3 linked regions of the Coturnix japonica genome follow. The protein of the gene in region 2 purifies or fractionates together with the protein of the main gene of each other region. This does not show direct contact. Links are inferred from orthologs where the notes say so. Each region holds a gene or a part of one and is shown on either strand. Other genes may lie near its edges. The genes, in order: MED9, MED19 and DNA-directed RNA polymerase II subunit RPB11-a.

Region 1 (3,695 bases), on a different chromosome or scaffold from region 2:
ACTGTGGCTGCTGTTATCAGTGCTACAATAGTGTGTATTGACAGAGCGGTTTAAACGCGGCAGCAGCAGTTTGCTGAAGCACACTCCTGATGGTGCACAGGGGCAGCACTGCTCACCCTCACCTTCCATGCAGCGTGTTCTCCATCACCCCCTTGCACTCACAGCCCAGGCACCCAAGAACCCCACCTCTCCCCTCCTTGCAGCTTCATGGATGTCTCAGCCCTGCTGCTGGATTTTTGCCTCCATTCCTTCAGGTTTCTCCAGTTCCAAGCCCTGAAAGCCCTTCTCTTCTCCAGGCTGAACTCCCTCAGCCTGCCTTTATATGGGAGAGGTGCTCCAGCCCTCACAGCATCTCCATGGCCCTCCTCTCCAACGAGGACAGCCAGGAACAGTTGGGCTGCACACAGGTCAGGGATGCTGTAGGTCACACTGTGGGGTGCTCAGTGTGGGTGTGCAGGGCACTGCCTTGGGAGCACAGGCCCGGCTCAGCTGGGGAACACCTCAGCAGCAGTGCAGTCCCATATCTGAGACCCAGTCCCAAAGCTTGACCCCGGGCTCAGCCCCCACACCCACCCTCACAGCCCAGGACCCAGGGAGGCCTCCGAGCCCCGCTCCGGCCCAGGCCTCAGCCCCAGGCCACGGCCCGCAGCATCCCCACACCCCAACCTCCTGCCCAGGCCCAAACTGAGCCCCACACACAAGCAGCATCTGATGCTCAGCCCAGGCCGCCGCCGGGGCGGTACAGAGCGGCCGAGCTCCGCCCCGCTCCGTCACTGCTCGGCGCCGGGGGCCGCCATGGCCTCGGTGGTGTCCGCAGGCCGAGGGGCCGCCGAGGAGCCGCCGCCGGCCGAGCCGCCCACCGAGCAGAAACCGCCGCCCGCCCCGCCGGCAGCAGCGCAGGAGGAGTTCTCCTTCCTGCCGCTCGTCCACGACATCATCAAATGGTAACGGCGGCCGCACAGCGCCGGGCCGGCCTCACCACGGCATCACCCCGCAGGGATGCTCCCTCTGCCCTTTCTCTCCCCGCTGGGGTCTATGGGGGGGTTGGCAGCTGCTCTGCTCTGAGCCGGGCCCGTAGTTGGGGTCACCGAGGTGGGGCAGGGCCGGGTGTGCAGCAGCAGGAGCCGTGCCGAGCTGTTATTGCCCCGTATTGCTGCTCTGATGGGCTGATAAGTAAAGGACGGGCAGTCCCAGGGCAGCACTGTCTGTTTCTGGGCGTTGGGAGAAAGAGGAAGGCTTGTGCAGGCTGAGTCATCCTCTTTCCTGTTCAAAATCAATGCTGTGGGGTTAAAGGTGTTCGTACGAGGGTCCTGACAACCAGCGTTTGTGGCCCAGGGTAACCCTGTCAGAAATGTTTGAGTTCCCGGTAGGGGCATCGCCCTGCTGTGACCTGGGCACGTTGCACAGTGATGCAGAGGGCACAGGAAGCGTGAATTCCCACTCCTTGTTGTGGGTCTGACTGCCCTTTCCCTGCACGCTTCTATGGGAGCTGAGGCTGCTTTGTTTCCTGCTGGGGTTCTGTGTGTCTGAGTACCCAGAAGAGGTTCACCCTTATTAACCATGCAGCTGGAGGAGCATGGCAAGGAAAGGCCGAATACCCCACAGACACGGCAGCCTAGAATCTAGCTCTCCTAGATTCAGGAGAGCTATGAGAACTCAAACCCACCCTCCATTTCCCCCCTGCGCTGCCACTGTCCCTGTGCTCAACCCTGCCTGATCCATCCAGAGGTGATGCTGAACCTGCTGCCATCTGTATATGTGTGCAGAGCCAGAGTGAGCCAGATCCACGGGCTGAGACCTCCCAGCCTCCTGTGTGTCACCAAGCAAGTCGTGGCGACCCACAATGACAGTGCTGGGATATCCTGTGCCCTGTCCCTCTGAGCCACCCACTCCCACTGCCCCGCTCCCCCCCAGGTTGGCACACAGCATTTCCTGCACGGGGTGAGCAGACGTAGGTGCTCAGAGCAGCACTGCAGAGGGGTCAGACGGCAGAGCCGAGCAGTGGGATGAGTTGCCTCATGTCCCTGACAGATGGCAAACGTATTATCCTTTAACGCCGCCGCCAGGCTCACAGCCCGGCCCTGCTGTTCTGACACTGACTCAGCCCTGAAGACATTTCACATCTCCAAGGTGACTGTGCTGGGGTGCAGTGATGTATCGCGTACATTTGCTTACATTCAAGGACACGTGTTCCTTCCTGTTGTTTGAGTCCCAAGAAAGTTCTCCCAGGCAGGGCTTGCTGTTACTTTCACCCTTGTATAATCAGATGAGGTTACCTGTGAGGTCCCTGTGCGTGGTGGGTTGTGCTGGTGTATCCAGGAGCTGCAGGTGGGACATGATGGAGTTATGATTTGTTCACAGCAGTGAAGGAGAGCTGGTGGGCAGCTGGGGAGGGTCTGAAGATCTCAGTCCTTGAAGGGAGATCCCAAGCACTGTGAGGCTGTGGCTGGACATTGCATTTAATCCTGTGTAACTGCAGGTAGCTGAACCTCTTCCCACTCTTGCTCTCCCCCCTGCCTTTCCATGCCTGCAGAGGAGCTGCTTCAATTACTTGAAAACTCCCATCAGAAACAAAACAACAACAAGCCTGAAAATAGTTATTCCTTCAAACCAACCAACCAACCAGGCAACCATCCATTCTTTGGATGTGGAGAAGAGAACGAGCTGTGGAAGGACCTGGTCGGCCCTTTGAATCCAGCATGCAGCTCGTGTGGATTAAAGGCAATGCCAACCCATCCTTCCCAGATGTGCAATGTGTGTGTGCCTGTATTTTTCCACTGTCAACTTGACCGTAAACGCCTGCATAATGGGGGTACATTATAGTACCAGCTGCGGTTTTATTTAGAAGGGAGTCATGAATATTTTGTTCCAACAGGCTGTTGAAATGAACGGGACCATCTGGTTAAAAGTTTTGCTCTCAGTCGTGTCACGATTCCCCAAAGTTCTAATCAGGCACCTCTCTGCCCTGGTCATGCCAAGCAGTTTTATTTTGGGCCTGGCTATTGAACAGGCTCCCAGCTTACAGGGGCCGTTAGCAGCCTGCTCTCGTTATTAGCGCTGCCTTGGAAGCAGTCTCGCCTTTGCCTGGAATGGTAAAACTCCTTGCTGTAGCTAACAAAGCTGAAGCAGATACTAATGAGGGTTTGAGGGCAGACGCTGCCTCAGACGACGCTGATCCTCGAGAAGCACGGAGCTGCAGAAGCAATTGTGCTGCTCTTAAAAAATAAGCTGTCGCTTCTCTTTATTAGGTAGACATCCCCGGAGAGTCGTTCTGAAGCTCCGAAATGCCGTTTTCTCTGCCATTGGACACACTCTGGTACTTTGGGGAACGATTCCTATTTTCTGCTGTCAAGCTGTTTGACTGCATCGATTTCTTGTATTGCTTTGACAACAGGTCACAGACGGGGCTGAGGTCTTTTTTCCCAGGTGCCCACACACAACCTGTGTGTGTGTAATCTTACCTTCCCCATATGGGAATTGAAACAGAGTGAGAGGCTGTGGTAGTGTTTGAAAGCTGCAGACCAGGTCTTAACCTGTAGGACTGCAATTAAGGTTACTGGATGGTGTGCTGAAAATGACCAGGAAACCAGTTTGTCCCAGCAGCTGCCTAATCTGTGTATGTGTCTCTGGTGGTTTTGTTGTGATAGGTGTGAATTAGATCCCAGGAGCAAAAGTTTCCCAGTGAATTCCAGCGT
Region 2 (3,245 bases):
GCAACTTCACGCACTACTTGACTCTTTCTCTATGGCAATATCTCTCCTGTGGCCTCCGCAGAGCCATGCCATTGGTTTTTTGTTTTTTTTTTTATTATTATGATTAGCCATTTTAAAAACGAGGAATAAAAGGATATTTAATGAGTCACCTCAGCGGGCATGCGTGTGCTTTGTGCGGTGTCCAGGGATGGAGGAGTCCGTGAAGGATCCTGTCCTTCACTTCTCAGCTTTCCCTCCCTCGTCTGGAGTGGAAAGGAAGGGGACAAGGAGAGCCGGGCCCAGCCTTACAGGGCTGCCAGTGCCTGCGCCCTCACAGCTGGGATGTGCTTCCTTAGGGCACTTTGGGGCACAGCGCTCTCAGTGCAGGTAAGTGGAGCTGTCAGGGTTGGAACATGTCCCAGGACTCAGTGAGGCTCTGGCTCTTCTGTAGGAGCCCCCACAGGGGCAGCCCTGGGGGACATGGTGCTGAACTGGGGTCACTTGTGTCCTCCTGAGCCTTCTCTCACAGCCCAGAGAGCTGCAAGGCCTGGAGTATGATGGGACAGGCACAAGGCCTCTGCTCCTTGCCCTGCCCCGCTGGCCAACAGTCAGAGCCGCCACTGGCACCAGCTCTTCCTCAGAGCAGACTTTAATTAAAAGGTGAATAAAAAAGTGAGATCCCAATGCACCACGTTGCTTAGGTGTGGTAGGAGCCCCCATTCCAGCAGCGTCCGCGTCACCAGGTCCCCATCAGCCACACAGTGCAAGCAGGGGGGTTGCAAGGCCACGTTCTCTGCAAGCGGGGACCATGAGTGCCCACACCTCCCCGCTGTGCTCTGTGATGGGACGAGTCCACAGCTGGGGCAGGGAGCTCCATAGAGCAGCACAGCGCAGCCTCACCGCAAGCTGCTGCTGCTGCTGGCCTGCGAGCTGCCCACCCCGGGGTGCTCGGGGCTGTGTCGGTTCTGCAGAAGAAGGACAGGCGTGAGGCCTTGTGAAACCCAGTGCCAAGCCCTGCTGGAGGCCTAACGTGTGGTGCTGCCGCGGCCTGGCACGGGGCTGGTGCAGGCAGAGCAGAGCAGCACGCTGCCTCCTAACCTACCTTCTTTTTCTTTTTCTCCTTCTTCTTCCTTTTGCGCTCCGGATCCTCCTCTTTCTTCTTCTTCTTTTTCTTGTGGTCTGAGTCCGAGGGGGTTTCTGCAGGAAGCAGAGGAGGGGTGAGCGGGGCACAGAGTTACCAGGACACATGGGGTGCAGAGTTAGCAGGGCACGGTCCTACCTGGGGGCACAGGGTCCTGCGTGCGGCTCTGCTTGTGCTTGTGCTTGTTCTTCTTCTTGGGCGGCTGGATGTGCATGAGGCGGCACTGCTCCGGCAGCTGCAGGGGCTCATGTCAGCGGACCCCCTCCTTACCCCCATCCCCCCTTCCTCCCCCGGGTGCTCACCGGGCCGGCGTGCAGTCGGAACCCGGTCAGCATGGTGCCGGTGAGCGGCGTGAAGGAGCTGCCGCAGATGGGCGGCTTCTCGATGAGGGAGCGCAGGCTGCTGTTGTCGTGTGAGCCGGGCAGGTCGATCATGCCGGGCAGGTCGGGCAGGAAGTTGCTGAGCTTCTCCTTCACCTTCTTGCCGCAGAACTTGTTGTACGCGTGCTCCAGGCTGTAGTGTGTGATCAGGTTGCTGCTGCCCGTCAGCTCCGTGCCGCCTGCGGACGGACCGGCACCCTCAGCGCCCCGCCCCTCGCCGGACCGCCCGCGCCCATTGGCCCGACGAGCCGTCACTCCGCGCGTCCCGCCCGCTCATTGGCCCCGCGCCCCCCCCCCCTCCCCCGCGGCCCGGCCCGCACCCGGCAGCTCCCGCAGCAGGTAGAAGGGGCCGGTGGCGGCCTTGCGCGCCGCGTCGTCTCCCGGCGGCGGCACGGCGGCTGCTGGAGGCGGAGCGGCCCCCGCTCCCGGCCCCTTGTTGGGCCCGAAGCCCAGCGCGGCGGCGGCGGCGGCGGGAGGCGGCTCGGCCCCGCCGAACAGCGCCGAGAAGTTCTCCATCTTCCCGCCCTGCCCCGCGCGGGGCCGCCCCGCCCCTCGCGGACGTACGTGCAGCTCCGGCCAATGGGAGCGCGGCGGGCGGCCGGAGGACAAGATGGCGGTGCTGGCCCCGCTGCTGGCGCTGCTGTACTCGGTGCCGGGGCTGTGCCGCTGGCTGGCCCGGCCCTACTACCCGCTGTCCGCGCTGCTCGCCACCGCATTCCTGCTCGTCCGCAAGGTCCCGCCGCTGTGCCGCGGGCTGCCCTCACAGCGGGAGGACGGCAACCCCTGCGACTTCGACTGGGTGAGCGGCAGCACCGGGCCGGCCTGTGCCGTGGCCTACTCGGGTATCACCGGCGCTGGGTGCAGCCGAGGCGGCCCCTCTGTGCGCAGCCCCGGCTCCTGATCGAGGGCAGGCGGAGGATGAAGGCTGGAGCGGCCTGGAATGGCTGCTTGGCCTTGTGGTTGTGCTGCAGGGCTGCTCGGTTGTGCCCGAGGTGCTGGCTGTGGCTGTGGCTGTGGCTGTGGCTGTGGCTGTCACGGTGCTCACTGCGTTTCTCTCCTGTGCAGCGGGAGGTGGAGATCCTCATGTTCCTCAGCGCCATCGTCATGATGAAGAACCGGCGCTCCAGTGAGTTGGGGCAGTGCTGGGTTGAGTATAAGCTGCTGATGGGGTGTCTCTGTACTGGAAACAGTTGAGGGATGAGAGTGAAAAGAGACGTGGCCCCATCTCTGATTTCTTCCCTCCTTCCCAGTCACTGTGGAGCAGCACATTGGGAACATCTTCATGTTCAGCAAAGTGGCCAACGCCATCCTCTTCTTCCGTCTTGACATCCGCATGGGCCTGCTCTACCTCACGCTCTGCATCGGTGAGACACGTGGGGAAGTGGGGGGGGATCCGTAATGCAGGGGCTGTAACAGTGCTCCTGTCAGGCCTTGTCTCTGCCCATCCTGTGCATTGCCTTCCTCAAATGGGGCTGGAGCCATCTTGCCTTGTGCTGCTGCTGTCTTTGTAGCCATACAGGCTGCTCTGGGGAAGGAGGAGCCTCCCTCAGACTAAGCCTGTGTCTCTTGGGCATTCCAGAAGTGGAAAAAAGGGGGCAGAGGCCTCGCTCCAGGTGGGCGCTGGGCTCAGGGATGCTGTTATTGCAGTGTTCCTGATGACCTGCAAGCCACCCCTTTACATGGGACCTGAGTATATCAAGTACTTCAACGATAAGACCATAGATGTGAGTATCTCCTACCCAGTG
Region 3 (3,746 bases), on a different chromosome or scaffold from region 2:
GTGGTCTTAGCTCTAACTGTATCTGGTAGGGATGTGACCTCTTTGGACCCCACCCAGCTCCAGTTGTCAAACCAGGCTTTGCAATAATTGATATTGCCCAAGTTTCATGGACAATGATACCATTCCTTTCCTACACAAACTCTGTTCTCCCTGTAGATTCTCAAATGGCCGGAGCTTCAAGCAAATGGGGAACACCTGAGCGAAGTCTACATAAACAACGTGATAACAGACCCTACTTTCACTTACCTTGTTGCTCTCACTAGTGTGAACATTACAGCCATTTGGAAGAAGTCATAGTTCCTTGTTATAGAAGTTCATTCCCCGTGTTTTGAAATAGTGCAGTATTAGTGACTGTTACCCATATAACCATAAAGTTTTCTAGACCAGCTGTTACGTGCAAAAGGTAAAAGAGTTCGTTAAGCACATCCAGTCATCCAGGCTTTTTTCCTGTAAGTTTACACAATTTGTGCATTTGTTTTATAGAAATGACACTTAATAAAACAAAACAACAACTCTGCTGGCAGAATCTGAACTTCTTGGAATGGGAAACCAGGGCTGTGACCCGTTATTGCCACTCAGCATCTCCTCATTGCCATAAGGGCAGTGAGACTGAGCTACAGCATAGTGCACATAGTGACAGTGAGGCTCCAGTTAGAAAAGTGAAAACCATTTTAGTGAATTAAGCCATGAAATCAAACAAGACATGTCAGATACAAACATCCCCTCCCAATACTGCTGCCAAAGTCAGTAGGACTGGAAGGAAAGTAATTGGCATTGAATGAAGGTTTAAATAAAGCATTTCACTCAGACACATCGTTCTTCATCAGCAGTGTATCACACTAAGAGCAGGCTGATTTCACTCGATTCCTTCTTGTTTGTCTTTAATGGCAACCTGTAAAGAACAGAAACAGAACCGTCAGTGGATGGTTTAAACACTGATTTCATCAATTTCACATCAAACAACAACTGCATGAGTTCAGGGGAGACCTTATTGCTCTATAACTTCCTGAAGGGAGGTTGTAGTGAGCTGGGGGTTGGCCTCTTCTCTTGTGTTATCAGTGATAGAACTAGAGGGAATGGTTTTAAGCTGCGCCAGGGGAGATTCAGGCTGAACATTAGGAAGTTTTACTTTGCGGAAAGGGTAGTCAGGCATTGGAATGCACTGCCCAGAGAGGTGGTGGAGTCACCGACCATGGGAGTGTTCAAGAAAACGTCTGGATGTTGTGTTGTTGAGTATGATCTAGCCGGGAAGTATTGGGAATGGTTGGACTAGATGATCACAGAATGACCCGGGTTGGAAGGAACCTCAAGGATCATGTAGTTTCAACCCCCCTGCCTGGCAGGGCCACCAAACATACACATTTACTAGATCAGGTTGCCCAGGAGACCCCATAGATTCCCCATAGAGACCCCATAGATCAGGTTGCCCACGGCCCCGTCCAACCTGGCCTTGAACACCTCCAAGGACGGGGCATCCACAACCTCCCTGGGCAGCCTGTTCCAGGGCCTGACCACTCTCCTAGTGAAGAACTTCCCCCTGACATCCAACCTAAATCTTCCCTCTTTTAACTTCAAACCATTTCCCCGTGTCCTGCTATTGTCAGCCCTTTCCAAGAGTTTACTCCCCTCCTGGTTATAGGTTCCCTTCAGGTTCTGAAAGGCTGCAATGAGGTCACCCCGCAACCTTCTCTTCTCCAGGCTGCACAAACCCAACTCCCTCAGCCTGTCCTCATAGGGGAGGTGCTCCAGCCCCCTGATCATCTTCGAGATGGCAGCAGCTCTGGGCTGAGCCCTTCCCTTAGGTTCAAAGGATGGGCTTCTCGCAGTGCTCAGAACTGAGCTCACCCTGAATCTCTCCTCCAGCAGGGACAGCTCGCTGATCAGGTCGGTGATGGCGTTGGTGAAGGCCTCCTGGGGGCTGTAATCCGGGGTCGTTTGGACGCGGATGATGATTTTATGTTCCAGGGGGTGCGGGACCTTGTAACCTGCAAACAGCACCTGGGGGTCCTTCAGCAGCTGCCTGGGGGAGGAGGCAAAGCAGCAGCAAACAAACATACATTAATAGATGTAAGAGCTTTATAAGAGCCCCAGCACTTGTAAGCAGCGCCCAGCTCCCTCAGCTCACGACTTGATGATGTTTCCCAGCGTGTGATCCTCCTTGTTGATGGTGAACAAACAGGCGTTGGGCACCTTGGTGTCCTTGTTGATGGTGATCCTACACAGCACAGGGGGCGGCGATTCACTGCCACAGCCCGGGCGGACATGGGGGGAACCGGGGGGGCACGGGACGGTCCGGGCAGCCCCCAACCCCCCACCGGACCCCCCCCATCCTCCATCCCGCCCCCTACTCACTTTTTCTCCCCTTCGAACAGCAGGAACGACTCAAATGCTGGCGGCGCGTTCATCCCGCCGGCTCCGCACCGCTCCCCGCAGCGCACACAGCGTCACTTCCGCCCACAGCGCCCCCTGCCGTGCGGGCGGACCGTGCGCAGTGCGCTATAAAGGCACGGACACGGAGCGGGTGGAGCTGCGCATTTATTGCCACGCTGCGACCCCCCCCCCCCCCCCCCCCCCAGCCCCATCCCGGCACATCCCGGTCCGTCCGTCACGTCTGCGGCTCCGGCAGCTCCTGCAGGGGGGGCTGGGCCGGGGGCAGCCGGCGGTGACAGCGCTCCAGGTCCTGCAGCGCATCCAGGAGCCGGCGGAGCGCGGGGGTCAGCGGTGGGGCTGGGGGGGGGGGAGAGCGGGGCGGTGAGACCCCCCGGGAATGGGAGCAGCCCCAGAGCACAGCGCCTATGGGGGGGATGGGGAGCTGGGGGTCCTTTCTCTACCTTCTCCGTTCTGAGGGTCCCCCGGCTCCATGAGCTGCCGGCACTTCTCCCTGCGGATAAAGGGGCTGTTGGCCGCGGGGCAGGGGGCGCTTTGGGGGCTGCCCCCGGTTGTGGGTCCCACCTGAGGGGCTGCTGCAGCCCGTGCAGGTGCTGGAAGAGCCGCTGCGCCTCCACGTCGGGCTGCAGCGGGTCGGTCCAGTCCTGCAGGGTGATGCTGTGCCGGGTCCGGCCGCAGCCCGGTCCTATGGGACAGAACAGGGGCTGAAAATAGCGGGGACATCACCACCCCCACCCCCCACCCAGCAGCCCGTACCCGTCCTGTCCTTCTGGTGGCAGCAGCTCCATTTATCCCCCCTGAAGACCCCGGGGTGGTAGGAGCGCAGCAGCTGCGGGTTGTTGCCGCACACCTTCCTCAGCGCAGACAGCCACTGGTTCAGCTCATTGACACACTGCGGGTTAAACAGCGAGGTCACACAGTACCCCAATGGGAAACAGCCCCGTCCCCATCCCAGCCCACCTTGCACTGCAGATACGCCGTCTCCTGCTGCCCGGCCTCATCCACATAGACCACCTGCATGACGTGGCAGCTCCCAAAGCTTTTCTCCTCCACCTTCTCGGCCGCTCGGATGTTGGCCAAAGCGATGGAGCCGCATCTCTGCCATTGGGGACACAGCGCTCGGTGCCCTCCGTGCCACCATGGGATCCCACCACCCCACGTCCCCCTACCTCTGCCCCGGGGCTCTTGCTGAAGCTGAGTGCCTCGCTGGTGAGGCAGAAGTGCAGCTTCTTGGATGCAGAAGCAAGCAGCGGCCCTTTGCCCCGTGTCTTATGGACAAACAGCAGCCCCTCCTTCACCACGTTGCTGCGGGGGGCACAGGGCTGCTCCTCTCCACCCTCCTCCTCCTCCGTGCCCAC

What was found.
Region 1: the proteins of MED19 (region 2) and MED9 purify together in Homo sapiens (affinity purification with mass spectrometry; 6 studies listed by BioGRID and IntAct, counting the BioPlex papers as one, with this or other methods). This does not show direct contact. The link is inferred for Coturnix japonica from reciprocal best matches to the Homo sapiens genes MED19 and MED9.
Region 3: the proteins of MED19 (region 2) and DNA-directed RNA polymerase II subunit RPB11-a purify together in Homo sapiens (affinity purification with mass spectrometry; 3 studies listed by BioGRID and IntAct, with this or other methods). This does not show direct contact. The link is inferred for Coturnix japonica from reciprocal best matches to the Homo sapiens genes MED19 and POLR2J.

The regions. Positions count from the first base shown.
Region 1 is NC_029529.1:4,804,591-4,808,285, forward strand, and holds the start of MED9 (mediator of RNA polymerase II transcription subunit 9), read left to right. Parts: upstream 1-760; 5' UTR 761-795; coding exon 796-944; intron 945-3,695.
Region 2 is NC_029520.1:7,805,459-7,808,703, forward strand, and holds MED19 (mediator of RNA polymerase II transcription subunit 19), read right to left. Parts: upstream 2,040-3,245; 5' UTR 2,017-2,039; coding exon 1,821-2,016; intron 1,680-1,820; coding exon 1,423-1,679; intron 1,356-1,422; coding exon 1,259-1,355; intron 1,177-1,258; coding exon 1,082-1,176; intron 945-1,081; coding exon 876-944; 3' UTR 611-875; downstream 1-610. Other genes in the region: TMX2 (thioredoxin-related transmembrane protein 2), read left to right, coding at 2,111-2,299, 2,566-2,626, 2,751-2,864, 3,148-3,224. UniProt on the Homo sapiens protein: Component of the Mediator complex, a coactivator involved in the regulated transcription of nearly all RNA polymerase II-dependent genes.
Region 3 is NC_029534.1:3,079,829-3,083,574, forward strand, and holds DNA-directed RNA polymerase II subunit RPB11-a, read right to left. Parts: upstream 2,485-3,746; 5' UTR 2,406-2,484; coding exon 2,353-2,405; intron 2,216-2,352; coding exon 2,126-2,215; intron 2,021-2,125; coding exon 1,846-2,020; intron 893-1,845; coding exon 857-892; 3' UTR 514-856; downstream 1-513. Other genes in the region: LRWD1 (leucine-rich repeat and WD repeat-containing protein 1), read left to right, coding at 157-297; ras GTPase-activating protein 4-like, read right to left, coding at 2,606-2,727, 2,832-2,881, 2,953-3,073, 3,145-3,280, 3,349-3,486, 3,558-3,746. UniProt on the Homo sapiens protein: Core component of RNA polymerase II (Pol II), a DNA-dependent RNA polymerase which synthesizes mRNA precursors and many functional non-coding RNAs using the four ribonucleoside triphosphates as substrates.